Linked DNA regions of Canis lupus familiaris. The protein of the gene in region 1 purifies or fractionates together with the protein of each later gene. This does not show direct contact. Links are inferred from orthologs where the notes say so. Each region holds a gene or a part of one and is shown on either strand. Other genes may lie near its edges. The genes, in order: MED9, MED1, MED20, MED16, MED8, MED19 and MED23.

Region 1 (2,450 bases):
TCTGCCACTTGTAACTGCAAGCTTGGGGCAAGTGATACCTGCCAAGCCTCAAATTCTTCATCCACAAGACAGAGCACCCTCTGGGTGGGGATACTGTGAGGAGTGAGGTGTTTGATAAGTACTTATTCCAAGTACCTGCCACCCAGCAAATAATTGGTGGCTCAGGGTGCTCAACCCTGGGAGGGGCATTCAGTATAGTCCCAAGGAGGGATTTCCACCCTGCTCCATGGAGGACTGCGCCCTGGGGACTGAGCCCAGGCCTGGCCCAGAGGGCCAGGCCCAGCTGGGAAGGATGACCCGTCAGGCCAACGGGGTCCTTGGGGACAGATGTCTCTCCTCAGGGCACTTACTCGGTTTTGACAGTGGTTTTGCCATTTGCGTGCTGAGAGGGAGGAGGTTCTCACCATACGTTCTGTCTCCCCTTAAGCAAAGTGAACATCTTCCTCTCAATTATCCAAGAGACATCCTATAATGAATTTCTCAGTACAAAAACCAAGGTGTCCCGAGAGCAGAGTACAAGTTCTTTTAATTATACTCTCGAAAAATGTCACAAGGCAAAACCCTGGAACACAGGGAAGATTCCATCTCCCTCTGCCCTCGGAAGAGCCCTCATCCGTTTTAGCCGTGCGGAAAAGCCTCGCTGGTTATATTTCTAGATGCTTTGTGTTTCCTATTTGGTCAGAGCCTTAAAACGGGCCCACACTACCCTGAAATTTCAAGGCCATAACTGATTCAGTTAAATATAACAGTCCCAGGGTGGGAGTGGTTGACTAGGCGGCTACCCACTTCAATTCAGAGCCCGCTCTTCTGTCCAAAGCCACTGAAACCGAATACCGCCCTTCACATGTCCCAGTGCCCCATGCACTAACCACCTTCTGACAGGTGGCTGTGGGGCAGCACAAATGGAACCCCTGCTAACATGTCCAACCAGTACTCTGCCAACGAGGTCAATCGGCGGGCATCTGTTAAGCCCCTGGCTTTCTCAGCACAGGTTATGTGCCCATTTCTAGATCTAAACAATATGTGACTACTTCTCACCTCGTCTTTAAGAGGCTAAGAGGCTGTCATGTCAGTTTGACAGTCAAGCGAAGAGCACGCAAATAAAAGTCCTGTTGGCAGAAATGAGGGACGTTCTGAATATTAATGAAACCAGAGTGGGGCTGCAGAACTCCAGGCTGTAGGTGGTCGCCCTCCTTCATCCTTCAGAAGGGACTCGGAACTGATGGGTGATCAGAACGGTCACTGCAGCCACCCTTCTCTGAACAGTGCATCATGGTCACCTCTGCAGTGCAGTCAACGTTCGGTCGACTCTTCAGTGAGAAGGCCAGACGGGAGACTAATTTTTTAAACCAGGACAAGAGGAATCTGAAATGAAAAGAGGCAGGGCCCGCTCACCCGGAAGCCTGTGTGGAGACAATGGTTCTCTCCAGCCCGTGGGAAGCACCATGGGGTCTGAAGTGGTCTGGTCGTTCTCGAGCATTACATGGCTGGATGAGCTGACTCCAGGGCACAGGAGACAAAGGGAGCAAGAGCTAAAAGTAACAGGACACGTAGGTGGCAGAGAACCTAAGACAGAAGGTGCCTGCAGGGCTCTGGGTTGACACCCCCAAAGACCCAATTATATTCACTGGCTCAAACATAAAAAGGAAACAAAGTTTTTCAGTGGGGGCGGGAGAGGGAGGAAGTCACCCTGTTGCAGTCCTTCAGAACAATATTCATGCTTTCCTGGTTTTCTTCTAATACTTGAAATCCATGCCCTATGAGTGCAGCTCCAATTTGTCCAGTGAATTCTATGCAAATGTTTCATGACACTGCTGTTAACAGAACATGTACCTGGTACACACGGAGCATACCCAGAGTGGGAGAAGAGGGAGGGCAGGAAGCAAAGAGGAGCCACCTTCTTTCCTCCTGTGCTCTCCCGATCTGCCAGTGGAGCCTGAATACACAGCAGATGGCCCCCTCACCGGAAGCAGGAGCAGAATCCTCTACCCCCTCCCCAGCCTCCAGGAACATTCTTCCTTCCACCAGCAGGCACTCAAGTTATTATGCATCTAGACATATGGATATATACACTACAAGGAGGCCCTGACAAAGCCAAGCCTGCACGCTGGCTCCTCACATAGTCAATGCCAAGTTCAGCTACAGAAGCAGCTACAGCAGCAGCCCCCCACCCCCAGGCCTCTCGGTTACAAAGTTCACAGCTGGAGTCTGAAAGATCTACACTCTGAGGTGGTGTGTGTGTGGGGGGAGGGGGGGCGGACAGTGAGGACGCGTGGTCTCCCTTTTCTTTCTCAGGCATTCCTGGAAGGCGGCCTCATCTACTCCTTGGGGATCTCAAACATGCAGAGGCTCTTGTACTTCTGCAGAAGTTCATTCTTGGTTCTGACTTGCTCCCGGAGGCTCTGCAGCTGTTGCTGCTGCTGCTCAGGACTCAGGTGGATGCCCGGCAT
Region 2 (3,500 bases), on another chromosome or scaffold:
TTCTTTCTGAGCTTCTCACTTCAAAGTAAGCTTACAAGTTAACTTTAAAACACCACCGGAAAAAAAAAAAAAAAAAAAAAAAAAAAAACACCACCGGTTCGTAAATTGGTGGTCTCCTACTCTAGATTAGAACCAGAAATACTGGCTTTCTGGACTATTCTAGCAACACACTTTTGCTAGACTTAATTGATTCAATTAAGTCATAAAAAATGCTATTTTCATATTGCATTGCAGTTTTTAAAAGGTGGTTCAAATTTGGTGCTTTTGGTTATGAATACATTAAAATGATCACTGCAAAGTCTGAGTATAAAACTTTCCTCAATATTAACATCTTAAGACACTTCCATGAAGTATCTGAGAACTTTGCTATATTTAAGACATAAAATTAATGTAATGACTTTCTCAAAATCCCAGAAAGTAAATTTTCACTCAATTTAAAAGGAAAGGATAATCCAGAGGGAAATGCCATCAACTGCTAAGAAACTTTTTAAGTCTAGCATTTTTACTATGATGGGAGTTTATTACATAAATACTTTAAATGTAAAACAATTTTTCTCAAAGCGAATAAAAGTTCTTTCCATGTATAGACTCAAGTTTCTCAACCCTTAGCTGATTTAATAATTAAGTTCTATTTATTTTTGTTGCACACAGAATTCTTGAAGCTAGGTCAGTAGTTTTCAACCAGGAATGATTTTGCCCTCCAGGGAAAATGTGATGATATCTAGAGATATTTTTGATTGTCATGGGTCAGGAAATACTGACTAGTGGCGAGAGATCAAGGATGCAGTTAAACATCCTACAGTGCACAGGGCAGCCCCCTAGAGCAAAGGATTTTCCAATCCAAACTGTCAATACTACTAAGATTGAGAAATCCTGGGATAGATGGAGTAGGTTAAAAAGCCAAGCTAAGTCAATTCTGAAAGTGAACAAATACAGATGCTGAAAATCCTGATCCAAAAAAAATATGTTCCTCAGAAGAGTAACTTTTTTTTTTTAATGATTTTATTTATTTATTCATGAGATACAGAAGCAGAGATACAGGCAGAGGGACAAGCAGGCTCCCCGCAGAGAGCCTGATGCGGAACTCAATCCTAGGACCCCAGGACATGACTTGAGCCAAAAACAGCCACTCAGCCACTAAGCCACTCAGGCGTCCTCAGGAGAGTAACTTCTGACCAACCTCAAGACTGACTTATAGGGGTGTCTGGGTGGCCCAGTCAGCTAATCGTCTGCCTTCGGCTCAGGTCGTGATCTCAGGGTCCTGGAATCAAGCCCCACATCAGGCTCCCCATTTAGTGGGGAGCCCACTTCTCCCTCTGCCAATCCCCCTACTTGTGCTGTCAAGTAAATAAATAAAATCTTAAAAAAAAAAAAAACAAAAAAAACACAAGCCTAGCTACAAAGAATTATGTGCCAGTATCAGGGTATATAAATGTCATTTGCTTACCTTAGCTGCTGTACAAGTTCTGGACAGCTCTGAAATTAAAGAAATCACATTAAAACTTTAAACTACTTTAAGGCCTCTGAAAACATCAAAAATTTTTCTCTTTTGTTAGGAGCATATGCTTTATAACAAAAACATTAAAACTACAAAAAATCCTTACATTAAAATATCAAAAAGCATCTTCTTCCTACTTAATAAACCATAGGGTTGAGGTGGGAAATTAAATCTCAAAATATATGAAATAATTTATAAAGGAATCAACTTTCAGGAGCTTGTTTGAAACATTAGGACCTCTCTTTAAGTCCATATTCAATTGTCTGTTTACAAATATTAAATGTTCATCTCTATTACAGGATTTTTCAGAGACGTTAGCTATGTATAAGATTATCTGTCCTTGATTATTAGCTCTTTGAGGATAGGAACTTTAAGTTATTTATTTCTGTATCCCCAGCACCTATTGTTCAATTGCGGCTCATGTTTGTTGATATGAAATGGAAAGTGTTCCTCTAGTGTCTCCACTTGTCGAAGCCTTTGGATGATGTCAGAGATGGACCCATGTTATTCTAAATTCTAGAGCTACTGATAGTATAGCCCATCACATCATCTCTACAGTGGCTCATGAAAAAACCTAAACCCAAGCTATTTCAAACCCCAACAATTCATTTTAAAATTAATGTCCCTAAGTAAACCCCACAGATTCCAGTGAAATATCAACAACACATACCACAGGATTCTCCCCATGGTGAGCCACTTTTACATCACAAAGCTGTCCTGCAGGATCTAACTGCACTTCCACATAGAACATATCTGACGTGATGTAACATTCAGTGCCACTGGCACTGAGATGAGAGCCCAGTCTAGCAGGAACAAATCAAAACAAAAATTAATAGAAGACACATAAATAAAGCCACCCAAAGTCAACACTAAGTTAAATACTTCTGCCTGTGATAGACTACTTACCCATTCTGTCTTGCTATAGACTCCAAGCGGTCAGTCATTGCTGGTAAAGATGTTACTAGGAAAGGGTAAAAAAAAAAAAAAAAGAGAAAGAAAAAAAGAAAAAAGAAAAGAAAAAAAAGAAAAGAAAAGAAAAGAAAAGAAAAGAAAAGAAAAAAAGAAAAAGAAAAAAGAAAGAAATCACAAAACGCTCCAAACACTTAAATTTTATTCTTCAAAGACTGAAATATCCGAAAGAGTATATCCATCCTTCCAAGTCATTACATTCAATAGTTCAAATGCTTGTTAATTTGAACAAGTTCATTAGTAAGACTTAGTTGTGACCTAGGCAGTAGTAAGGGTCCAAAAAAAGATATATTTAGGGGTGGGGCACCTGGCTGGCTCAGTTAGTAGAGCATGCAACTCTTGATTTTGGGGTCATGAGTTGGAACCTCATGTTGAGGGGAAGGGGCCTTACTTTAAAAATCTATTTTTAAAAATTGTTGGACCTTTCTCCTCTTCCTTTTGCGTTGCTCAATTAGGACAAGTTATCTTTAACTTCAAAAAGACACCTGTATCTGCTAATGCTAGAATAAAGAAGATTAATATCAAAACCAAACCAACATAAAAACAAATATTCAATATTCACAGCAGCATTATTATTTCTAAAGGTGAAAACAAACCAAATGTCCATTCATGGGTGAATGTAGAAATAAAATGTGGTACATACAATTATTTAGCTTTTTTAAAAAAGGAAATCCAGATACATGCTACAACATAGATAAACCCTGAAGACAGTAGGCTATGTGAAAAGCTAGTCACAAAAGGACAGATACTATTTGATTCCACTTATATGAAGTATCTGGAGTAGACAAATTCTTACAGACAGAAAGCAGAATGATGGTTACCAGCAGTTGAGGAGAGGGAGAAAGAAGTTATTGTTTAGTAAGTACAGAGCTTCAGCTTAGAAAGATGAAAAGGTTCTGAAGATGGATAGTGGTGGTGATGGTTACACAACAATGCGATGGACTTAACGCCACAATTTTTTTAAAAAGTACCATCCTCTGTCTCTACATATTTCCAGATTGGGAAGGGCTACCAGAGTTTTTCAATATGCAGA
Region 3 (4,141 bases), on another chromosome or scaffold:
GAGACCATGTATCCTGAACGTCTCTCTCATTTTAAAGATGAGGAAATAAGAGGCTCACAGTTCCTAACAGCTCCACTAAGAACTAGAACACAGGTCTCAGGACACTCCTACCAACTTAGTGAACTTCCTATCACAGCAGCATTTTCCAACCAGGACACGTGTGCCAACATTCAAGCAGTTTTAGGTGGCACACAGAGTAATCCATAACACTGATGTCCTTTGCAATTCCTTCAGTTCTGCCTAAATTAGGAAAATCTGTTTGAGGTTAGTATGTTTTTACCAATTCTCTAACATTTTGAAGGTGTGTTGTCCAGTACAGTAGCCACAAACCACATGTGGCTATTTACACTTAAACTAATAAAACAAGTTAAATTAAAACTTCAACTGCTCAGCTGCACTACCCCATTTCAAAGGCTCAATAGCCACATGTGACCAGAGGCTAGTATATTGGACAGTGATGTTATGGAACATTTCCGCCAATATGGAAAATTCTATTCAACAGCCCTAGGATCAAAGAGAAAGCAAGCCTCAAGTCTGTAATCTTTAGGAGTCAGAGGCAACGATATGTACAAAAATAAAATCAAAACAATGAGATAAAAATGTTATTTCCAAGATTCCTTCTATGGTAAGTGAAACCGACCTCCCCTTAAGAGTAGTAGGTAACGGGCAGCCCGGGTGGCTCGGCAGTTTAGCACTGCCTTCAACCCGAGACCTGATCCGGACACCTGGGATCGAGTCCCGAGTCGGGCTCCCTACATGGAGCCTGCTTCTCCCTCTGTGTCTCTGCCTCTCTCTCTCTCTCTCTCTCTTTCTCTGTCTCTCATGAATAAATAAAATCTTAAAAAAAAAAAATAGTAGTAGGTAACAATCATTAAGCACCAACCACGTGCCAGGCAGTGTCCAAAAGGCCTTTAGACAAATAAACTATTTGGATCCTCACAACGGCCCTAGAAGATGACTATTATTTATCTCCTTGTAATAAGTAAGGAAACTGAAGAACAAAGAGGTTGAGTAACTTGCACAAAGTCACATAGCTTGGTGTGGTATAGCCAAGATTCAAAGCCAGGCATGCTGGTTCCATGTCTGTGTTCTTATTCACTATACTAGATTGCTTCCCTAAACAAGTAGTTGCCGGTTAAAATGCTTCTAAGAAAACTAAACAGATTCAAAAAAAAAAAAATTCATAAATACTTCAGGTGGTACACTTAACTAAACAAAAACCATACATATTACTGAATTCTCAAAGACATTACTTTATGATCAATCAACCACAGAGGGAGGGAGGAAAGGAGGGACTACTGCTGTTGCTAAAAATTGTCCCTACTCTCCATCAGAAGATGAACTCAGAAGCAATGGATAACGTGCCTTTACTGACAAACATAAGAGAATATCTAAACTGACGTTACACGGGTCCGAAATACCAGGAGTGTGATATACTTGCTAAGGGTCCCAACAGACTGAGGGCCCATTCCATCTTTCTGTCTTCTGCTGAAAGAACAGGGGCTTTCAGGTTCCAAGCCTCTATGCTGCAAGCTTTTCCTTCCAACCCTCATACACTCCCTTACACTAGAAAACTTAGAAAAGGCTTAAAATATCCATTGCAGAAAACACAGGTGCAGTAACCGACAAGCCTACAAGAACCTGAGCTATCAGAAAGACTAGCTCCAGGGATCCCTGGGTGGTGCAGCAGTTTAGCGCCTGCCTTTGGCCCAGGGTGCAATCCTGGAGACCCAGGATCGAATCCCACGTCGGGCTCCCCGCATGGAGCCTGCTTCTCCCTCTGCCTATGTCTCTCTGCCTCTCTCTGCCTCTCTCTCTCTCTCTCTCTCTGTGTGTGTGTGTGACTATCATAAATAAATTAAAATTTTTTTTTAAAAAAAGAGTGGTTCCCACAGGCTCCAGCCCTAACTAGAAACGTGCTAATACTTACCGGTACTCAAAACAAAACAATCCCTAAAATCTAGCATTTTCTCCAAGAGCATTAGGCCCATACCTTTCTCTGCCACCCCACTTATATCATGTTGAGAGATTAAAAGTCCATAGTAATTAGTTACACCAACCATACAATTAAACATAGTAGGAAACGAATTCTGAAGAGGTGACGTGCCTAAACCCCAATCTACCTCCCAACAGCTGCTGCTGCTTATTTTTTTTTTTTTTTTCCCTCTAGACCGAAAATCTTAAGACGGCCGCACCAGAACCAGACACGGGCCGGTCTAACTGCATTAAGTGGCTGTAGGGAGGGGCAGGAGAAAATCTTTAAAAAAAGACGGTTTCCTCGTTGCCTATCCTTTACCTCCTCTAGCTACGCCTGTAGATTGGGTCCTAGTTCGGGCATCCTTAATTTCCACCTCGGGCAGCCCTATGGCCTCCTGGGAAGGAGGAACACAACCACTGATGGGCTCCTGGGACAAAACCTTTCACCTGCCGCCTTTCAGGACGAAGGGAAGTGTCTCCGAGCAAACAAGCGCGGAGAATCTGCAGCCCTCGCAGCGTCTCCATCACCCACACGTTCCGAAGATATCTTATCTTCATCAGCTCATGGGGGACCGCGGTCCCTGGTCCCGGCCCTCCTCCCGGTACACTCCGGGCTCCGGGGCCCTTCCCGACCCCGAGCGCCGCCCAAAAAAGTCCCCTGCGGGCCTACCAAGTCACTCCCATGGTATCGGGCCAGGAGGATGGCAGGAACAAACAATCGGATCACAGTAGTCTCTGGCCGCCCACACTAAGTGAAGACCCCTAACGAAAGCTTCGGCCGAGGGAGGTGCTCCGGAAATGACGCAAAAGGAGAGCGTCCAGTCGACGCGCCCACGAGGAACAGGGGCAGGTCTAGGCATCTCCTCGGTGACGCCTCCAGTGACGTCACTACCCAACTCTGGCCCCGGCTTTGCAGCTAGGCAAGTCCACGTTTGGCTGGGAACAGAGGTCCTCGATCTATGAAAGTAGAAAACCACCGCTCGGACTGCCACCACTTGCAGAAGCCAGCGTTAGAAGCAGTGAGTTCATTCGGGGACCGGCTGGCTCCAGGCCCCGCTCTTACGGGGTGTGGCGGCGCTGATGGCCTTCCCGGCCTCCGGACGCCGGGAGGCGCTGTGAGCTCCGCGGGGGCCTCTTGGGAGCTGGGACTTCACGGCGCAAGTGCGCTCAAGGCTTTTTTTTTTTTTTTTCCTCGTCTGTACCCCACGTGTAAACCTTTCTGGCAGAGTTCTGGAAAAAAATGCCCAAATTCAAGCCGGCTCGCGGAGCTGCAGGCCAGGAAAAACATGCGCCGCTGGCTGAGCAAATCCTGGCTGGGGACGCGGCGCGGGCAGGGCCCCGGGAGAAGCGGCGGGGTCGTGGGACCAGAGAGGAGGACGAAGAGTATGTGGGGCCCCGGCTGACCCGACGGATTTTGCAGCAAGCGCGGCAGCAACAGGAGGAACTCGAGACCGAGCATGGGACTGGGAACAAGGCCGCAGCCCCGCGCGAGCGCACCACGCGTCTGGGTAAGTGGGGGAGGGGGGTGCCAGGAAGAGGGTGGTTAGTTTTGGAGGGAGGGGGAAGTAGATAGACGGCCAAAAGGTTCTGCCAGGGGAATCCTTTGGAATAAAAAAAGTGAAATTGAATAAGGAGTCCGCATCACACCCTTGCAAAGGTGATGAAATGGGAGACCCAGCCCTGGAATAGATTCAGGGTGGTCAGAGCTCTCTATGCCCACTTGTTGCTTTAGATGCTTGCGTCTAGGCAGTCTCTAAGTTAGACCAACAAGAAGTTAATTGGTCACACTATTGAGCACTCCTAACGTTTATCCATCTGTTCTGTACATTCTTGTAGGTTGTCTAGTCCGTACTTTGCACTGTGCTAGGTAGGAGTTTAGATGGTTTTGAGTAAAAAAGGAAGCAAGATAGCCATGACCCTGACTTCAAGATCTTACAGTCTAACCTGAGAGACAATTAAATTGACGATTCGAATAATACATTTCATGATGAAAGTATAGTTTTGGGACACCTGGGTGTCTCAGTGGTTGAGCATCTGCCTTGGGCTCTGGGCAGGATCGCGGGGTCCTGGGATGGAGTCCCGCGTCGGGATCCCAGCGGGGAGCCTGCTTCTCCCTCTGCCTATGCCTCTGCCTCTCTCTGTGTGTTTCTTGTAAATAAATAAA
Region 4 (3,500 bases), on another chromosome or scaffold:
GGGGCTGGGCGGCATGTAAGATATCGGATATGTTAAACCGTTTCCAGAACAATGAGTTTAAAACCTCCCTGTGATCAGCAACCCCCCTTTTTTTTTTTTTTTAAAGATTTCATTCATTTATTCATGAAACGCAGAGACAGAAAGAGGCAGAAACAGACGGAGGAAGAAGCAAGCTCCCTGCAGGAAACCTGATGTGGGACTCAATCCCAGGACCCTGGGGTCACACCCTGGGCCGAGGGAGACGCTTATCTGCTGAGCCACCCGGGGGTCCCATCAGCCCCTCCTGTGTTCAGGTTTTTCCTGAAACTCAAACGCAAACCCGGTCCTCCCTCCGCGAGACGAGAAGGAAGATGCAGAGGGTTGGGTGCTCGAAGCCTTTCACCCAGAGGGGCCACAGGGCCCCACCCTCCTTCCTTTGGCTCGCTGCTGCCTTCTGACATTTCCACCCAAAGACACAGACCGCGTGGGGAGCTCATGCACGACGGTCCACCCGGTGGCCTGAAATGAGGAGGTGCCTCGTCTGACGGTCGGGACACCTGTCCTGCCTAAAGAGCGGGGATAAAACCCTGCCCGTGCGTCACTGGGCAGCACGGGCCGAGTCCACACCATCCAACAGCAGCTACCCGTGACCGGCTCTGGAGGCCGCCCCTCGGCTGTGGGAACAGCCCGCCTGGGGTAATGGTTTGTCCACCGGGGGCCACGCAGTACATGCTAGAGCCCTGAGGGGGGGCTGGAGGCAAGTGTGTCACGCAGGAGTGACGGACCAGAGGGACGGTGACATCACACAGATGACCCAAGGCAGGGATGGAGACAGGTGGGAGCAGAGGAGTGACCGGCTGAGCAAGGGTCTCGAGGCCGTGTCAGGGTACAGGTCAGAGGGCAGCAGCTGCCCGGTGCACAGGGGCCACGGGGCAGAGGCGGGCACACACCTGATGAGGCCGTCCAGCTGCAGGGTGCTGGCGCTGGTGGGCAGAGTGGGCGCCTTGCCGAAGTGCAGGCGCAGGGGCTGCTTGGGCTGCAGGCGGCTGACCAGCCCGTCGCTGACGGGGAGCCAGTCCAGGCTGGGAATGAGCAGCTGGCTGGGCAGCAGGCAGCACTCGTCCACAAGCGCTTCGTCCGGCTCGCTCGTGGGGCCCTCGTCACGGCCTGCGGGGAGGGGACCATGGGGGAGCTGCGTGCCGCGGCCCTGCCCAGAGCACTGCCCACCTGGAGGCACCAGTGGGTGCCTGGGTTATGTCCTGGGTCAGGAGCGCACAGCGAGAGCCGGGACCCCTCCTGGCCTCAGGGATGCAGGGACGAGAGAACAGCCTACCAGAAACATGCGGCCCAGTGACACCAGGCCAGCAAACAGGTGCTGACCTTCATGAGCATCTGTGCTGGGCGCTGGCGGCCAGGACAGTCTGACGGGGTGGGGGACGGGAGCTGTCAGCCAGGACTTGTATTTTGGTGGGGGGATGAGCTGAGGAGTGCAGTCTTACAGCAGATCCAGAGCTTGGTCAGCAGGCGGAAGAGCAGGGACATGCTATCCTGGGTGTCCGAGGTGGCCGTGTACACGGGCAGGCAGCTGGGCTTCAGCAGACCCCAGATGCGGATGACCACCATCAGCTCGCGCAGCATGCCCAGCGAGGTGCCGTCCCGCAGGAAGCTGTGTCCCGGCCGCAGCGGGGAGCCCTGTGGGGAGAGGAGCTCGGGCTGGACCCCTCAGAGCGTGCAGGAGTCAGACCAGGGCAGCCCTGGGCCCGGGCATTCCGGAACAATCAGCAGGTCCAGCACCCGGCCACCACGTGGTTACCGCCGGCAGCTAATGTGTGTGCAAGGACAAAGTGGGGCTTGGCGGGGATGTGGGGACCATGGCTACAGCTGCCGTGGATTTGAACCTGAGGTGGGAGATGCACTCGGCGGCCTTCGTGGCCTGGGACTGGGGCAGGTGTGCGGCAGGGAGCGGGGGGCAGCGGCCAGCGGGGGGGGGGGGGTGGCGGCGCCGGGGGTGGGGGGCCTGGACGCAGCTGGGGGCCGCACCTGGTTGGGCAGGCTGGCCAATAAGTAGAGCACGAAGTCCCCCACCCACTGCAGCAGCTGCTGCAGCGCCTGGAGCGTGTTCATGTCCAGGACAAACTCCTCCGTCTTCAGGTTGATCATGACCTTGTCGATGTCTGCAGGATGCGGGCAGTCAGCCACACCCACCGGGCCTCGCGGTGTCCCGTGCCCACGGGGACGCCTGGTCCCATCCCCAGCCCCGTAGCCCTGGCGGCGAGCCAGGCCTGGGCCTTAGAGGGACCCCCCCACCACGCTGGGCCCCCGTGGGGACAGCACATCCCTCTGGGGTCAGCCCCGTGGACGCTGGGACACCTCTGCCCACCTGTGATGACCAGGCCCACCCCGCGCCTGGCGCCCGGTGGACACTGAGGGGCGTCAAGCATCCCCGGGGCACAGGCTGCTCTCTGCGGGCAGGCCAGGACCCACCGGCGTCAGTGATCTTGGTGCAGACCTCCGTCAGCCGGTCGCCGGGGCTCTTGTCAGGTGTGTTGAGGAAGTGAGGGCGCAGGAGTGACTTGAGCGTGGAGCTGACAGCCACGAGGAAGAGCTTGGCGTGATAGTCGCACACGCGGGCCACCGTGCAGGGCGACAGCTTGCACAGGGAGGCCTTCATGGCCAGGATCCGGGTGGACAGGACCTGGGGGGGCGGCGGGTGGTGGGAACGGGCAGGGGCACCCCACGGGGCCCGGGAAGCAGCTCCCCAGAGCAGGATGGAGGCGACTGCGCAGGGCAAGTGGGGCCCACTCTTCCCACGGGCCCTAATCTCCCACAGAAAAGGCTGGAGACGGAGAGCTGACGGGGAGGGAGAGCGGCCTGCGCGCCCCGCGAGTGTGCTACCTGCTGCAGGGCCGCGTTCTGGCGCGTGTACTCCTCGTGCAGCTTCTCCACCAGGCTCTGCACCATGCCGGGCTGCACGTGCAGCAGCGTGTCCCACCAGTCGTAGCCGGTCACCATGCAGTACTCCAGCAGGAAGAGCAGGTGCCGCAGGGCCAGGCTCACGTCCAGCGTGTGGCCCATGGACGGCGAGATGCGGAGCATGCTCAGCTGCCGGGAGAGGGAGGTGCCCGGTGAGGCCAGAGCCAGCGGCGTCCTCGCACAGGGAGGGGAGTGCTGGACGGACCTGCAGCCCACCCTGCACCCAGTGACCCCAGGCTCCCAGCTCCCTCCGGGCCTCGGGTCCAGCCCGTGGGGGCAGGTGGCAGCCCCAGAGGTGCTGAGGCAGAGGCTGGCACAGGGAAGCCGCGGGTGCTCCGTCTCTGCCACAGCAGAGCTTCCCCAAACAGCTGGGGGCTTCGCTACCTCTGTGGGCGTTCCCGGGCACTGGGCCTGTTGTCAGGCTAAGCGGCAGGTCCCCCGAGGGCCACGGGGTCCCCGCAAACACAGCCCCTGCTCTGCAGGAGCACGGCTCCTACCGCGAGGAGAGGCCTGTGGGCTGGCCGGCCTCATGGACACTAGGACACCAT
Region 5 (4,249 bases), on another chromosome or scaffold:
GTCTCATCACACCAAATCCCCACAAACTGGAGATTTACCATCCTGTGGTTATGTTGTTATACTATAATCACGAAGTTTAAGAACATAAGACCTGGAGCCAGGCCCCCTGTTTGGGATTCCTAGCTCTACTACTTACTAGCTGTGTTACTATGTTGCTTGGTGAGCTCTGTGCCTCAATTTCCCCCAAATGAAAGATGGAGATGATAAAAAGCATCTAGGGATGAGAGCACTAACTGATATTTGCAGTGTCGAGAATGGTGCCTGGCATGCAGTAAGCATTCACTAAGTAATAACTACTATTTATGTCACTATACACATCCTTCACCCTTCCCACCTACTCATATATTCTCTTAGAATACTGGGCACTTCCTTTAGTGATGTTCTTTCCAAATCTGATTTTATGCTCAGATCTTCTAATTTCAAAACTCTGCTACTCCCCAGCTCAGCAGCACTTGGGTAAGGTACTTAACCTTCACTTTTGGGTTTCCTTATCTGCAAATGAGAAATGGATATTGCCACCTCCCTGGCACAAGTTTGAGTAACATCATGTACGTACAAGTTCCTTTCATTAGCACCTAATGGGTGCTCATATGCATTTTCTGGTTTAATGCAGAAGGTCCTCACAACACACCGTAAGGCAGGTATCTTAATGAAGAAGGAAACAGGATCGGGATAGTCAAGACTTGCCCAAAGTTGCACAGACAGCTAAATGGCGACACCAATACTGGGACGAAACTTCACTCTGAGCCAAATGTTTTTTCTTTTCTTTTTTTTCCCACGAAACCAAAGCTGCTCCCTAAGTGCATAAGCGCTACAACTAAGTTAACTCACGCTGTTCACGGCATTCCAATGCCTGCAGAAATGCAAAAACCATCAACGTACTAGTGCCATGTTGCCCACGGAAACTGCGGTAGAAAAATCAAACCTCAGGTTTTGTTAACATCGATATTAAAGACCGAAGAATCCGAGAGCCCTGGAGCCGGGGACGTGTCTGAAATTTCAATAAACAAAACAAAGCGACGGGTTTCTGCTCTAGCCGCCCCCACGACGACACTGCGGGCCGCGGGGAGGAGGCTCAGTCAGTGGTCGGGCCTTTGGGGCCGGGCCGGTCCCTGCGCAGGCTACGCGGCCCGGCCGCCCCCAAACCGGGAGGAGGCCTCCTCCTCGGGGCCCGGGGTCCAGCGCCCTGCGTTGCGCCCGCCCGCCCCTCACCTCCGGCTCCGGGCGCTCCGAGGCCATCACACAGCCCTCCCGCGCCGGCCCGGGCCAGAGAAGATGCTCCACTCTTGACCCTTGACCCGGCTCCCGGAGACCCGCCGGAACCGGAAGTGAGTGGGCGGGCCGCGCTCTCCCTGAGTTTTCTGATTGGGGGACGAGGCCTCTAGAGTGGATCGCCGACTAGGAAACCGGAAGCGGAAGCCGCCGCCGCCGCCGCCGCCGCCGCCGCCATCGCCGCCTTCGCCATCGCCGCCGCCGCTATAGCCGCCATCGCCGCCATCGCCATGCAGGTGAGAGCGGGCTTGGGGCTGTTAACCGCTAGCTAGCTTCAGGTGACAGGACTGAGAATGGGCTGGCCGAGGAGAGAGTGAGGAGTCGGGGCCGACTGGAGGGGCAGAGCGCGTAGCTGACGGGTAAGGGCCCGCGGGGGCGCGGACGACTGGAGCGGTGGGGGTGGGGCCCACCTGGCAAGAGATGGGAGGTTGGGGCCTTGTCGTGGGGAAGGAGGCTGCGTGGACTAGCTGGCGTGCACGGAGGGATCAGGCTACGGTAACTGGGACGGTTGATATGCAATGCAAGGAAGGCAGCTCAAGAAAATGCAAGTTGGCTCCGGCCCCTGCCCAAGCTGTTGGATGTAGACGTGAGGGATCTGGATGGAATTGCAGAGGAGCCCGAGGGATTGGGGGAAGGGGAGGGAGGCCCAGAGCCGAGCTACTTAAAATCTGAGGCTCTGTGAGTGGAGCCCCGGATCCAGGCCCTCCTCATGCCCCTTGGTGAGTTTGCAAGACAGCTCTGCATCATTTCTCCCAGCCTGAGCCTGTTAGTTGTTGAGGATGAAGAAATGGAGTAAAACTGGAGACCACAGACGGGAGGAAACTGCAGACACCCCAGCATTTTAAAATTGTGTCTCTGGCGCCTAGGAGCATGTGCGTTTTGTCTTTGTTTTTCACTTGCCACTTACTTTCTTGCACCTGGTTGGCTGTCAGTAAATGTCTTCAGGCTGAGTGAGCTTGTGGAAGGGACGCAGGAATACGGGCACAGAGATAAAGCGAAGGGCACAGAGATAAAGCGAATGCCGACTAATCCAGCAAGAAGAAGCTTGAAAACTTCAAATGCTGACGCAGATGAGGAGTGGGGGAGGGGCCGTGGGGTACAAGTTTCAGGGAAACCTTAGTTTCCTTCGTTTCCACAAGCATGAGTATGTTTTCCGGAGATTATGTGACTGGCAAGAACTTCCAGGCTCACAAGGCAAGTTCTAGGACAAGAGAAAGACAAAATACTGCAGAGGCACACAAAAGTTAATAAAGCCCAGGGATTATGTCTGAAAAAAATGCCTCAGTGAGAGTGTTTCTATTTTTTTTTTAATTTTATTTATTTATTCATGACAGACACAGAGAGGGAGAGACACAGGCAGAGGGAGAAGCAGGCTCCATGCAGGGAGCCCGACATGGGACTCAATCCTGAGGCCCCAGGATCACGGCCCCTGGGCCAAAGGCAGCACTAAACCGCTGAGCCACGCGGGCTTCCCTGAGAGAGTGTCTAATACAGAGGAAAGCCAGACATGAATTAGCAGACAATGAGGGAAAGGAGGAATTGAGGTCAGGCAAATGGATTGAAAGGTCTAAGAATTGATGCTGTCTGTAACCCAAATACCAAAGATAGAGAACAGCCTGGCTTTCCTGCACCAGTGAGATCCTGGGTTACTTGACTAGTTTTGCATACTGTCATCCCGGCTTTTCAGCCTTCCCTGTATACGACATAGCCACACCTATCTGGGTAACCAACCTGTTCCTATTGGTGCAGAGGGAGGAGAAGCAGCTGGAGGCATCATTAGATGCACTGCTGAGTCAAGTGGCTGATCTGAAGAACTCACTGGGGAGTTTCATATACAAGTTGGAGAACGAGTATGACCGGCTGACCTGGTAAGGGTTGCCAGGGCAAGCTGAGGAGGGCTCCATGGGGTGGGGGTTGAGGGGGCAGGCCTCCTGATTGATAGGACATCTCCAGGGATGTCACAATTTATCACTTTGCAAACATTTTTTTTTCTTTTAAATTTCCAAGTTTGTTTTTTTGTTTTTTGTTTTTAGATTTCATTTATTTATTCATGAGAGACACAGAATGAGAGAGAGGCAGAGACACAGGCAGAGGCAGAAGCAGGCTCCCTGCAGGGAGCCCGACGTGGAACTCGATCTCGGGTCTCCAGGATTACGCCCTGGGCTGAAGGCGGTGCTAAACCACCGAGCTACCCGTGCTGTCCTGCAAACATCTTTTAATTTGAAAAGATCTATGTTTCCCAACATTTAACAAGTGAAGTTTGTCTTAGGGCCACTGTGGCACGGAAATAGAGAAATGCCCAGTTTTCCAACCCAAGTTTTTTCTAGCTTTTGATTGTCACCCTTGACTTCTTTGGGAGGAGGTACTCCGTCAGTGGGTCCTCCCACTATAGTAAGAGTACAGCGTTCATCTCGGGTCTCTTACGATAGATATTGCTGAGTCTTTTAGGTCCAACCTACTCTGGAAGTGTGGATCCTGTTTTCAGGCCTGAAAGATCTCTTTTTGCTCAGTTTATAAATTTTTAATGATAAGCATAGCCATGGTTCTTACTTTGCCACTGGTCTTTTACCCCATTCAAATAATGAGCTGCCTTATTTCTCCATCCATGTTAGAAACTAAAAGCGTGTCCCGTTTTCATAACCCCACAATCCCTGGGATCCAGTCTGGTTCCTGCCCAGTCCAGCTGTAGTGCTCTGAGTCTTTTTCGAGTGAGCCTGGGTATTCCTAGTCTGAAAGACCCCTTCGAGGCTACTTTACTGAGAACATTGTGACACCTTCTTACCACTACCAGGCCGTCTGTCCTGGACAGCTTCGCCTTGCTCTCTGGACAGTTGAACACTTTGAACAAGGTCTTGAAGCATGAAAAGACACCGCTGTTCCGCAACCAGGTCATCATCCCCCTGGTGCTGTCTCCAGACCGTGATGAAGATCTCATGGTAAGAAGAGAAGAAGGGCATAACATGGGAAATTAAATTCT
Region 6 (4,098 bases), on another chromosome or scaffold:
GTTTGTCTTAGGAAAATTGATGTAATTATAAGACAGTTATTCTAAGTTTTCTTCACCCATATGAAATTTCCAAGGTTTGGCTCAAGTGACAACTCTGTCATTTTGGATCAAGGAACACATTTTGAAAACCAACATGTAGTTTTTTGTTTTTTTAAGTAGACATCTACTCTCAGTGTGGGGCTCGAACTTACAACCCCAAGATCAAGAATTGCATGCTCTACCTACTGAGCCACCCAGGGGCCCCCATCATGTAGTGCTCAATAGTATATGAGGTATGATCACGAAGTAATGAGATCAGCCTTAACAAGAAATATAGTCACTAACCTTTTTTTTTAAAAAAAGCTTTCTTTTTTAAAGACTTTATTTATTCATAGAGACAGAGAGAGAGAGAGAGAGAGAGGTAGAGACACAGGCAGAGGGAGAAGCGGGCTCCATGCAGGGAGCCCCACACGGGACTCGATCCCGGGTCTCCAGGATCACGCCCCGGGCTGCAGGCGGCACTAAACCGCTGTGCCACTGGGGCTGCCCTATAGTCACTATCCTTAAACCACATATGTTATATCCCTATGTAAAATAAGCTCCTTAAAAGCAAGGGCTAGATTTATTCTTTTCCTTCTCATCAGGTGCCCCCCTTCCTACATACTTGCCCCAAACAGGTAGTAGCATCTGTCAAGTGGTTGATATAAATAGGTACAATTTTATAAATAGAATAAATAAGGTTAGAGAAAGTGCTGGTAGACATCAACCCCTAACTGACCAAAGGAGAGTCAACCTCTCTATGCTTTAGTTTTATTCAAGTGTAACATGCCTATCTCAAGAGGCTATTCTCAGTATCAAATTCTATTACATACCTAACTGCAACTGCACTGTGAACTTCAAAGCACCAGGCCAATATGCATTATTATTTCCCTCAACCCCTGATGTAGCAGTAGAACTTGGGAGGAACTGAGGGGCAACTTGGAGATTTAACGTGTCCAAAGCGACTCTTGATTTCCATTTCCTCAAACGTGTTCCTTCTTGGTCTTAGCACTACCATCCACCCAACTATTCAAGCCAGGAATTCACAAGTTCCTCCCTACTTCTATATTCAACCCTTCATTCCTCTAAGCTCTGCCCCTAACATTTACCCTGCATCAGTTCACTTCTCTCCTGCACTGCTACTGCCTAGTCCAAACCATCATCTCCTTCCGGGACTACTATGCAGTAACTTCTGGCTGATTTCCCCACTTTCCATTCTTAATGTAGTTGTTTGGATAATTAAAAATAAGTAAAATCAGATCGTGTCACTTTCCTGTGTGCTAACATGGCTCCCCCTGAGGGGCATCTGGCTGGCTCAGTTGGTACAGCAGGTGGCTCCTGATCTCGGGTGGTGCATTTGAGCCCCAGTTTGAGTACAGAGATTACTAAAAAAAAATTTTTAAAAATACAACGGCTCCCCTGAACTTAAAATCTAAATGCTTTACAAAGGCTGTCTCCCCCACGCCCTCCATCTCCTATCACTCCTTCCCTTGAAACTTCACTGGAGTCCAACTGGTCTTCTGATCCTCGGATAGTCCATGGTTTTCCCTCACACCAGGGCTTCTGACCTCATTTCTTGCGTGTTATCTCTCCCACTCACACGTGACTGGCTCTTTACGCTCAAATATTATCTACGCGGAGATGGCTTCTTTGATCACTCTGGCTAAAGCCTCAACTCTTTATCACATTTTCTCCTTGTAGCACTAACCACTGTGTGATGTTATCTAGTGCACTGTGCCGCCGCCTCCTTTGAAATGTAAACTCCAAAACAGGCAGAGGTACCTGTCAGCCCTAGTCACTTCTGTATCTTAAGCATTTAGAACAGTGCTTTTGGTACACGGTAGGTGCTCAACAAAACAATTCTTTGGTTCGAGTCTCCTCCCTCCTTCGGGTAGTTGAGGAAACGCGGAAGCCCTCAGGAAGACGGCAACACGCCTCAAACCAAGAGCATGTCTGTGACAGATCTGGAAAACCTTAGGTCTGCACGGATGTTAAATCAGGCGTCTCGAGTTCCAAACTCAAACCCCGGAGAGTTTTCAGGGAACCATAAGCTAGCATCAGGGACAGAGCCAGATTCGGTGTGAAAGATGGGTCGCCGAAAGGCCTTCTCTCCCCCTTCCCAACCAGGCCAAAAATTCATGTCAACCCTTCGGTCGCGAGTCCTCAGCGCCCTCCCGACTCGGAGCTCCGAGGCCCGGCACGCGTTGCCTAGGATACCCCGCACCTCCCCCGGCTGGCCGAGAGCCACGCCCACCGCCTCCTCGGTACGATCCGATTGGCTGCCTTCTGCCAGGCCTAGTACTCACCTGGCAGTTCCCGCATAAGGTAGAAGGGACCGCAGCCAGCCGCCGACTTGTCGGCGCCGGGGGGAGCCGTGGCCGCGGTGGACGGCGGGGCCGTGCCGGGGCCCCCGCCCGGAGGAGGGGGAGGAGGAGGTGGAGGCTTTCCTGGTCCGAAGCCGAGCGCGCTTGGTGGTGGTGGTGGGTCAGCTTGAGCTCCGAACAGCGCCGAGAAATTCTCCATCGTCTCCTCCGCCCCGGCGCGGTCCCTGTGTCTGGCGTCGGTCGTTTTCATTGGACAATCCTCTCACGATGTCCCGCCCCCTTCCTCTAGGAGCCGCTTTTCATTGGGTGCCCCGCCTACCGTTTTCTGGCAGCTACTTCCGTCGCTTTATGAGAACGTTCCGGAAGTGCTATCTAACTTGCAGAGATTCCCCTAAAGGCCGTCTCCGTGCGCCACCGCCGCATATCCAATAAAATGACTTAAGTGGAGAAAGCGACATCTAGGTCGGCCAATAAGACGTCAAAGCCCCTTACCTTCCGCAACGTCCAATCAGAGATCTACTTCCGGGCGCGGAGGCGGTGCATCCGAGGCCAAACCCAATGGAAGGCTCGCTGGTGGAAGGGGCGGGGCCAGACCTACAGACGCCGAAGCTCCGCGGGCGCCGCAAAGGCCGGAAAGATGGCGGTCCTGGCACCTCTAATCGCTCTGGTGTATTCGGTGCCACGACTTTCACGATGGCTGGCCCGACCTTATTATCTCCTGTCAGCCCTGCTTTCTGTTGCATTCTTACTCGTGAGGAAGCTGCCCCCTCTCTGTAGCAGTCTCCCCACGCAGCGCGAAGACGGCAACCCGTGTGACTTTGACTGGGTGAGCGGACCCCGCGACCTTCACTGTCCCTGCTCCCCGAGGTTGCATGCGGGAGCCTCGAGGTCCCGAGCCCGTCGCGGCCTCACAGACTATTAGAATGTGGGGCCTGGAGCATCGTCGAGCCTAAACCTCTTCGTGCTTCATTGAGATGGGCAGACAGCGGGTTAGCCTGCACGGCCGCCTGGCTCTTAGGATTCTGGAGTGCAGGGTTCTTCCCATCGCCCCGTTCATGCTGGTCAGCGGCCGTACCCAAACTCGCCACGTGTCCAGTATTTCACAGGGCCGCCCTTTATGTAAAGCTTCTGGAGGAGCTGGTGAGGTATAAACAAGGCGGGTCGTGGTGCCCCCGTTTAACTGATGGAGAGCTTGACCTCGGCGTAGTCGCCAGGGAGCCCACCGGTGAGGGACTGCGACCCGCAGCCACCCCTGCACGCTTTGGCAGCCGTTCCTGGATTCAGTTAACACTCCCAGGGCGCGCGTTACCTGCTAGGCCCGCTGCCGCATTCCGAGGATGCAAAAACATCAACACAGGCGTTAGGCCCGCTGAAAAGGAATCGTAAAAACAAAATTGTAAAGAAATCTCCCTTGAGACTTGCTGTCCTCGAGTAGGTGCGGAGTAAAAGGAGTTGAAGCTCTGTGCGCCCTGCTGTACAGCAGCGGGTGTGTTCTGCGGGAAGGGAAGGGGGGTCAACCTGAGTTTTCGTCTTTTTTTTCTTCCCCAGCCCCCAAAGTGAGTCTTGACCTTTACCAGAACCCACTCCCTTATTTTGTTCCTCCATCCCTTGTTAATGCTTTCCTACATCCTCTGTGCTTTCCCAGACACTATGACAAAAAAAGCTCAAGTGTAGCCATGCTTGTTTAGAAGTTCCTATTTTTTTTTTTAAGATTTTATTTATTTATTCATTAGAGACACACACACACACACACACA
Region 7 (3,500 bases), on another chromosome or scaffold:
TTACCAGTTCCTGCCTCTAATGAGAGCCTTTGGGAATCAACTCAGGGCCTAATTGCTTGTACTTTTTACAGCATCACAAGGCCAGATCATGTCTGCCTTATTTACTTCTATATTTTCTGTGCATAGAACACAGCAGATATTTAATACACACTTGCTGAATGAGACAATGGGAAATCTCTAGTTCCTTAGGGAAGTGATAACAATGCTTGATTATAGTATAATTGCCTTAAATCCTTATAGATCATCAGCACAAGATCCATCAATCACACACCATGATCTAAAAGAGAGTGAAGTAGCTTAGAAACTTGTTCTTATAAGCATATTCTTACCAAGCAGAGAATCAATCTGTCCAATGTAACAATGTTATACTTCCATACCATGTCATTAAGAATTTCAATGCATTTGTTGAGTTGCTGACCTCCAGCTGATGTAGAGAACTCATATACTAAGAAATCTGCAAATGTTCTCACATGGGCTACCAAGGCCCTGGCTCCAATTCTTTCTAATACTCTGGAAAGCAGAGAGTAAAAACCAAGTTATATTGCTATGTGGTATAACAGCTTGTTAAATAGAATGCAGATCTAGGTTTCTGGCTTACCTATAGCCAATCTGATTAATATGATCTGTTTCCAAGAGCATTTTCCAGAGAAGACAAAGGAAGAGCGGAGGAGAGCCTTGCATAGAGAAGTGGGTAATGATGTCATTTTCATTGGTCATTGACTTCCACTTCCTATATTCCTCCTCCACATTTTTTTTCAGATTAAAACGGCTTTCCTGAGGTACATTATTCTGCTTGAAGAATGCCTAAAAAAAAAAGATCAAAAGTTTACTTTTATACTAAAATGAAGAGCAATGGCCAGAGTCAAGAAATCAGTTCTGGACTTGATTCTGACACTAATAAACTCTATGTGACCTCAGGTAATTAAGTAATCAAGGTGTGAATTTCTTTTTTTTTTTTTTTTTTTTTCAAGGTGTGAATTTCTATAATGGGAAAATATACAGGCTTGACTAGATAATCTCTAAGATTCCTTTCTTAGATTTCCTAAATAGATATTCCAAGCAAGCCTGAATTCAAAGCTTCCTCAAACATCTGTTGATATTTCTGTTTGTCTTTGGGAAAAAGAAAAAAAAAAAAAAAGAAAGAAATTATGCGCCTTTTGGTTAAAGATTTTAGTATCTCTAAAAGGAAAATCCATTATACTAAACCAATGGGTCTCAGACCTCCTGTTTTGGAAGTTCAGCAGTCTGTATCTGATCAAGCCCTCTAGATAATTCTACCAAGTTTGAGAGTTACTTGCCCTAGCCCTGTTGGAAGTTCTATAAAGCAGATATTCATTATGCTTAAACTTTTCTCTGAAAAGTAGAGGACAGCTTTGCGCAGTGGCAGTATTGCAGCCAATGAGGTCTATCCGAGGCACGATTATTGCTAATTGAAAAGTAGAGGACAGATGAGGTTTTCCTTTTTCCATAGTATAAAAGCCAAGTTTGTAGTTTTTCTCTCTGTATGATTAAAAAAAAAATTCAGTCAAGTGCAACAATGTGTATTCTATGAAGCTCTGTTAAGTTGTATCTCTCCCCATTTCAGTTCTAAAAAAGAGAAAGAATTTTTCAGGTAATGTGTTAATTCTCACAACATTCTAAAATTGTTAACTAATAACATGAAACCATAATTAAATTTTTAGGAACGTATCCAGGCCTAGAGTAAGTCAGGGAACAACTCAAGAGACTTTGGAATAGTACAGGTTTTTAAAAAAAGAAACAGAAGCTAATTTCCTTTGGATATCGCTAAAACCAGCTTTCTAGAATTAATGGGAAGAAATGAATTAATGGGAAATTAATGGGAAGAAATGAATTAATGGGAAAAAATGATTTCATATATACTAAATGGAAGAATGATTTTGTATATATTCAATATGTAATTCAAGACCAAATTACCTGTAGTGGGCCTGGAAAACAGCTAAGAGTGTGTGATGCCCAATTATGAGGAGTAAAACTCATGATGGTCTGAAGTATGTCTTTACACCAAGTTCCCTGAATTGAATCAGAGCCTGTAAAAAAATCTAAACATAAACAAACAGAGGTAATCCAGATATAAATGATCATACCCATAATTCATAAATGGTATCATAGAAAAAGTTATGTACACGCATTGAATTCCATGGCAATACACTCACTGCTTAACTAGTTATATTCAGTTTAGACCTAAATTTTCTTAGTTTATGAATGATTTGAATGATTACATTAGTAAACATGAACACAATTAGTGAAAAGAAGACATTTCAATCTATTTTTTTTTTTTAAGTAGGCTCCATGCTCAGCATGCCTCGGGCCTTGAACTCATGATCCTAAGATCAAGACCTGAGCTGAGATCAAGAGTTGGACATTTAACAGACTCTCAGGAGCCTCTGTAATCTTTTTTTTTTTTTTTTTAAGGTTACAGAGCACCAATGATCTAATAGTGACATAGGCCCACCATGATCGCTCATGTAGTTCAGTCTGACAATGAGGTATCAACACTTTATTGAGCCAAGGAAACAGAATTGAGAAAATATATCTTTTCCAGTGGTTGAAATAGCTATAGACTATAACTCTCTAAATCAAGAAGGTTAATTTATTGGGACACCTGGGTTGCTCAGCGGTTGAGTGTCTGCCTTTGGCTTGGGTCGTGATCCCGGGGTCCTGGGATAGAGTCCTGCATCGGGTTCCCTGCAAAGGAGCCTGCTTCTCCCTCTGCTTGTGTCTGCTTCTCTTTGTGTCTCTCATGAATAAATAAATACATAAATAAATCTTAAAAAAAGGGTTAATTTATGTAAAATAAGACAGTTTACACAGATGTATCTGAGGTTGCAAATTCAGTAACTATTTCTTTAAAACAGCAGTTCTCAAAGTGTGGTCTGTGGACTCTGTGGGTCCCCAATATCCTTCCAAGGATTTGATGAGGTCAAAACTATTAAAATAGTAATACTAAGATAGTACTAAACTTTTTACTGTGTTCATATGTGTACCAATGGGGCAAAGGTAATGGTAGGGAAAACTGCTGGCCCTCAGAACAAGTCAAACAGTGGCACCAGACTATACTAATAGCCACTGTAATCTTCACTATACTCTCACTAGGCAGCAGGGCGGGGTGGGAGGGGGCCCAGGTTGGGAGAAAATGCAGGTTTTACTCTAGAATATCCCTGAAGTAGTGAAAAGGACTGTATCTTAGCCCTTAAATACATCTAATTTTGTTGTGATAAAAATGGAAGTATGCAGTGTCCTAGCTACACACTGAAGTATGATGGGCATCTAAAGGAAAAGTACTTGTGCAATTGTCTGAATATCGAATTAAATTAGCTCTTTTTTTTAAATGGAATTCCATTTTTACTTGAAAGAACATCTGACAGAAAAACTACAGTTATTCAGACTTGGGCAATAAGCAGCATTTTCTTGAACAAAGGGAACCTATTACTTCAAGGAAAACAAATGACCACATCTTTTGCCAATGATAAAATTTGACT

What was found.
Region 2: the proteins of MED9 (region 1) and MED1 purify together in Homo sapiens (affinity purification with mass spectrometry; 8 studies listed by BioGRID and IntAct, counting the BioPlex papers as one, with this or other methods). This does not show direct contact. The link is inferred for Canis lupus familiaris from reciprocal best matches to the Homo sapiens genes MED9 and MED1.
Region 3: the proteins of MED9 (region 1) and MED20 purify together in Homo sapiens (affinity purification with mass spectrometry; 6 studies listed by BioGRID and IntAct, with this or other methods). This does not show direct contact. The link is inferred for Canis lupus familiaris from reciprocal best matches to the Homo sapiens genes MED9 and MED20.
Region 4: the proteins of MED9 (region 1) and MED16 purify together in Homo sapiens (affinity purification with mass spectrometry; 5 studies listed by BioGRID and IntAct, with this or other methods). This does not show direct contact. The link is inferred for Canis lupus familiaris from reciprocal best matches to the Homo sapiens genes MED9 and MED16.
Region 5: the proteins of MED9 (region 1) and MED8 purify together in Homo sapiens (affinity purification with mass spectrometry; 5 studies listed by BioGRID and IntAct, with this or other methods). This does not show direct contact. The link is inferred for Canis lupus familiaris from reciprocal best matches to the Homo sapiens genes MED9 and MED8.
Region 6: the proteins of MED9 (region 1) and MED19 purify together in Homo sapiens (affinity purification with mass spectrometry; 6 studies listed by BioGRID and IntAct, counting the BioPlex papers as one, with this or other methods). This does not show direct contact. The link is inferred for Canis lupus familiaris from reciprocal best matches to the Homo sapiens genes MED9 and MED19.
Region 7: the proteins of MED9 (region 1) and MED23 purify together in Homo sapiens (co-immunoprecipitation; 3 studies listed by BioGRID and IntAct, with this or other methods). This does not show direct contact. The link is inferred for Canis lupus familiaris from reciprocal best matches to the Homo sapiens genes MED9 and MED23.

Annotation. Positions count from the first base shown.
Region 1 is NC_049226.1:42,179,985-42,182,434, forward strand, and holds the end of MED9 (mediator of RNA polymerase II transcription subunit 9), read right to left. Parts: coding exon 2,319-2,450; 3' UTR 501-2,318; downstream 1-500.
Region 2 is NC_049230.1:22,947,970-22,951,469, reverse strand, and holds part of MED1 (mediator of RNA polymerase II transcription subunit 1), read right to left. Parts: intron 2,460-3,500; coding exon 2,405-2,459; intron 2,302-2,404; coding exon 2,169-2,301; intron 1,477-2,168; coding exon 1,448-1,476; intron 1-1,447. UniProt on the Homo sapiens protein: Component of the Mediator complex, a coactivator involved in the regulated transcription of nearly all RNA polymerase II-dependent genes.
Region 3 is NC_049233.1:10,766,670-10,770,810, forward strand, and holds the start of MED20 (mediator of RNA polymerase II transcription subunit 20), read right to left. Parts: upstream 2,801-4,141; 5' UTR 2,662-2,800; coding exon 2,648-2,661; intron 1-2,647. Other genes in the region: BYSL (bystin), read left to right, coding at 3,218-3,485. UniProt on the Homo sapiens protein: Component of the Mediator complex, a coactivator involved in the regulated transcription of nearly all RNA polymerase II-dependent genes.
Region 4 is NC_049241.1:58,257,802-58,261,301, reverse strand, and holds part of MED16 (mediator of RNA polymerase II transcription subunit 16), read right to left. Parts: intron 3,082-3,500; coding exon 2,875-3,081; intron 2,675-2,874; coding exon 2,464-2,674; intron 2,154-2,463; coding exon 2,020-2,153; intron 1,672-2,019; coding exon 1,479-1,671; intron 1,147-1,478; coding exon 930-1,146; intron 1-929. UniProt on the Homo sapiens protein: Component of the Mediator complex, a coactivator involved in the regulated transcription of nearly all RNA polymerase II-dependent genes.
Region 5 is NC_049236.1:16,880,952-16,885,200, forward strand, and holds the start of MED8 (mediator of RNA polymerase II transcription subunit 8), read left to right. Parts: upstream 1-1,449; 5' UTR 1,450-1,502; coding exon 1,503-1,508; intron 1,509-3,021; coding exon 3,022-3,140; intron 3,141-4,063; coding exon 4,064-4,208; intron 4,209-4,249. Other genes in the region: KICSTOR complex protein SZT2, read right to left, coding at 1,213-1,239. UniProt on the Homo sapiens protein: Component of the Mediator complex, a coactivator involved in the regulated transcription of nearly all RNA polymerase II-dependent genes.
Region 6 is NC_049239.1:38,957,943-38,962,040, reverse strand, and holds the start of MED19 (mediator of RNA polymerase II transcription subunit 19), read right to left. Parts: upstream 2,801-4,098; 5' UTR 2,593-2,800; coding exon 2,325-2,592; intron 1-2,324. Other genes in the region: TMX2 (thioredoxin-related transmembrane protein 2), read left to right, coding at 2,980-3,168. UniProt on the Homo sapiens protein: Component of the Mediator complex, a coactivator involved in the regulated transcription of nearly all RNA polymerase II-dependent genes.
Region 7 is NC_049233.1:365,064-368,563, reverse strand, and holds part of MED23 (mediator of RNA polymerase II transcription subunit 23), read right to left. Parts: intron 2,061-3,500; coding exon 1,936-2,060; intron 1,517-1,935; exon of another isoform or gene 1,370-1,516; intron 805-1,369; coding exon 599-804; intron 511-598; coding exon 330-510; intron 1-329. UniProt on the Homo sapiens protein: Required for transcriptional activation subsequent to the assembly of the pre-initiation complex. Component of the Mediator complex, a coactivator involved in the regulated transcription of nearly all RNA polymerase II-dependent genes.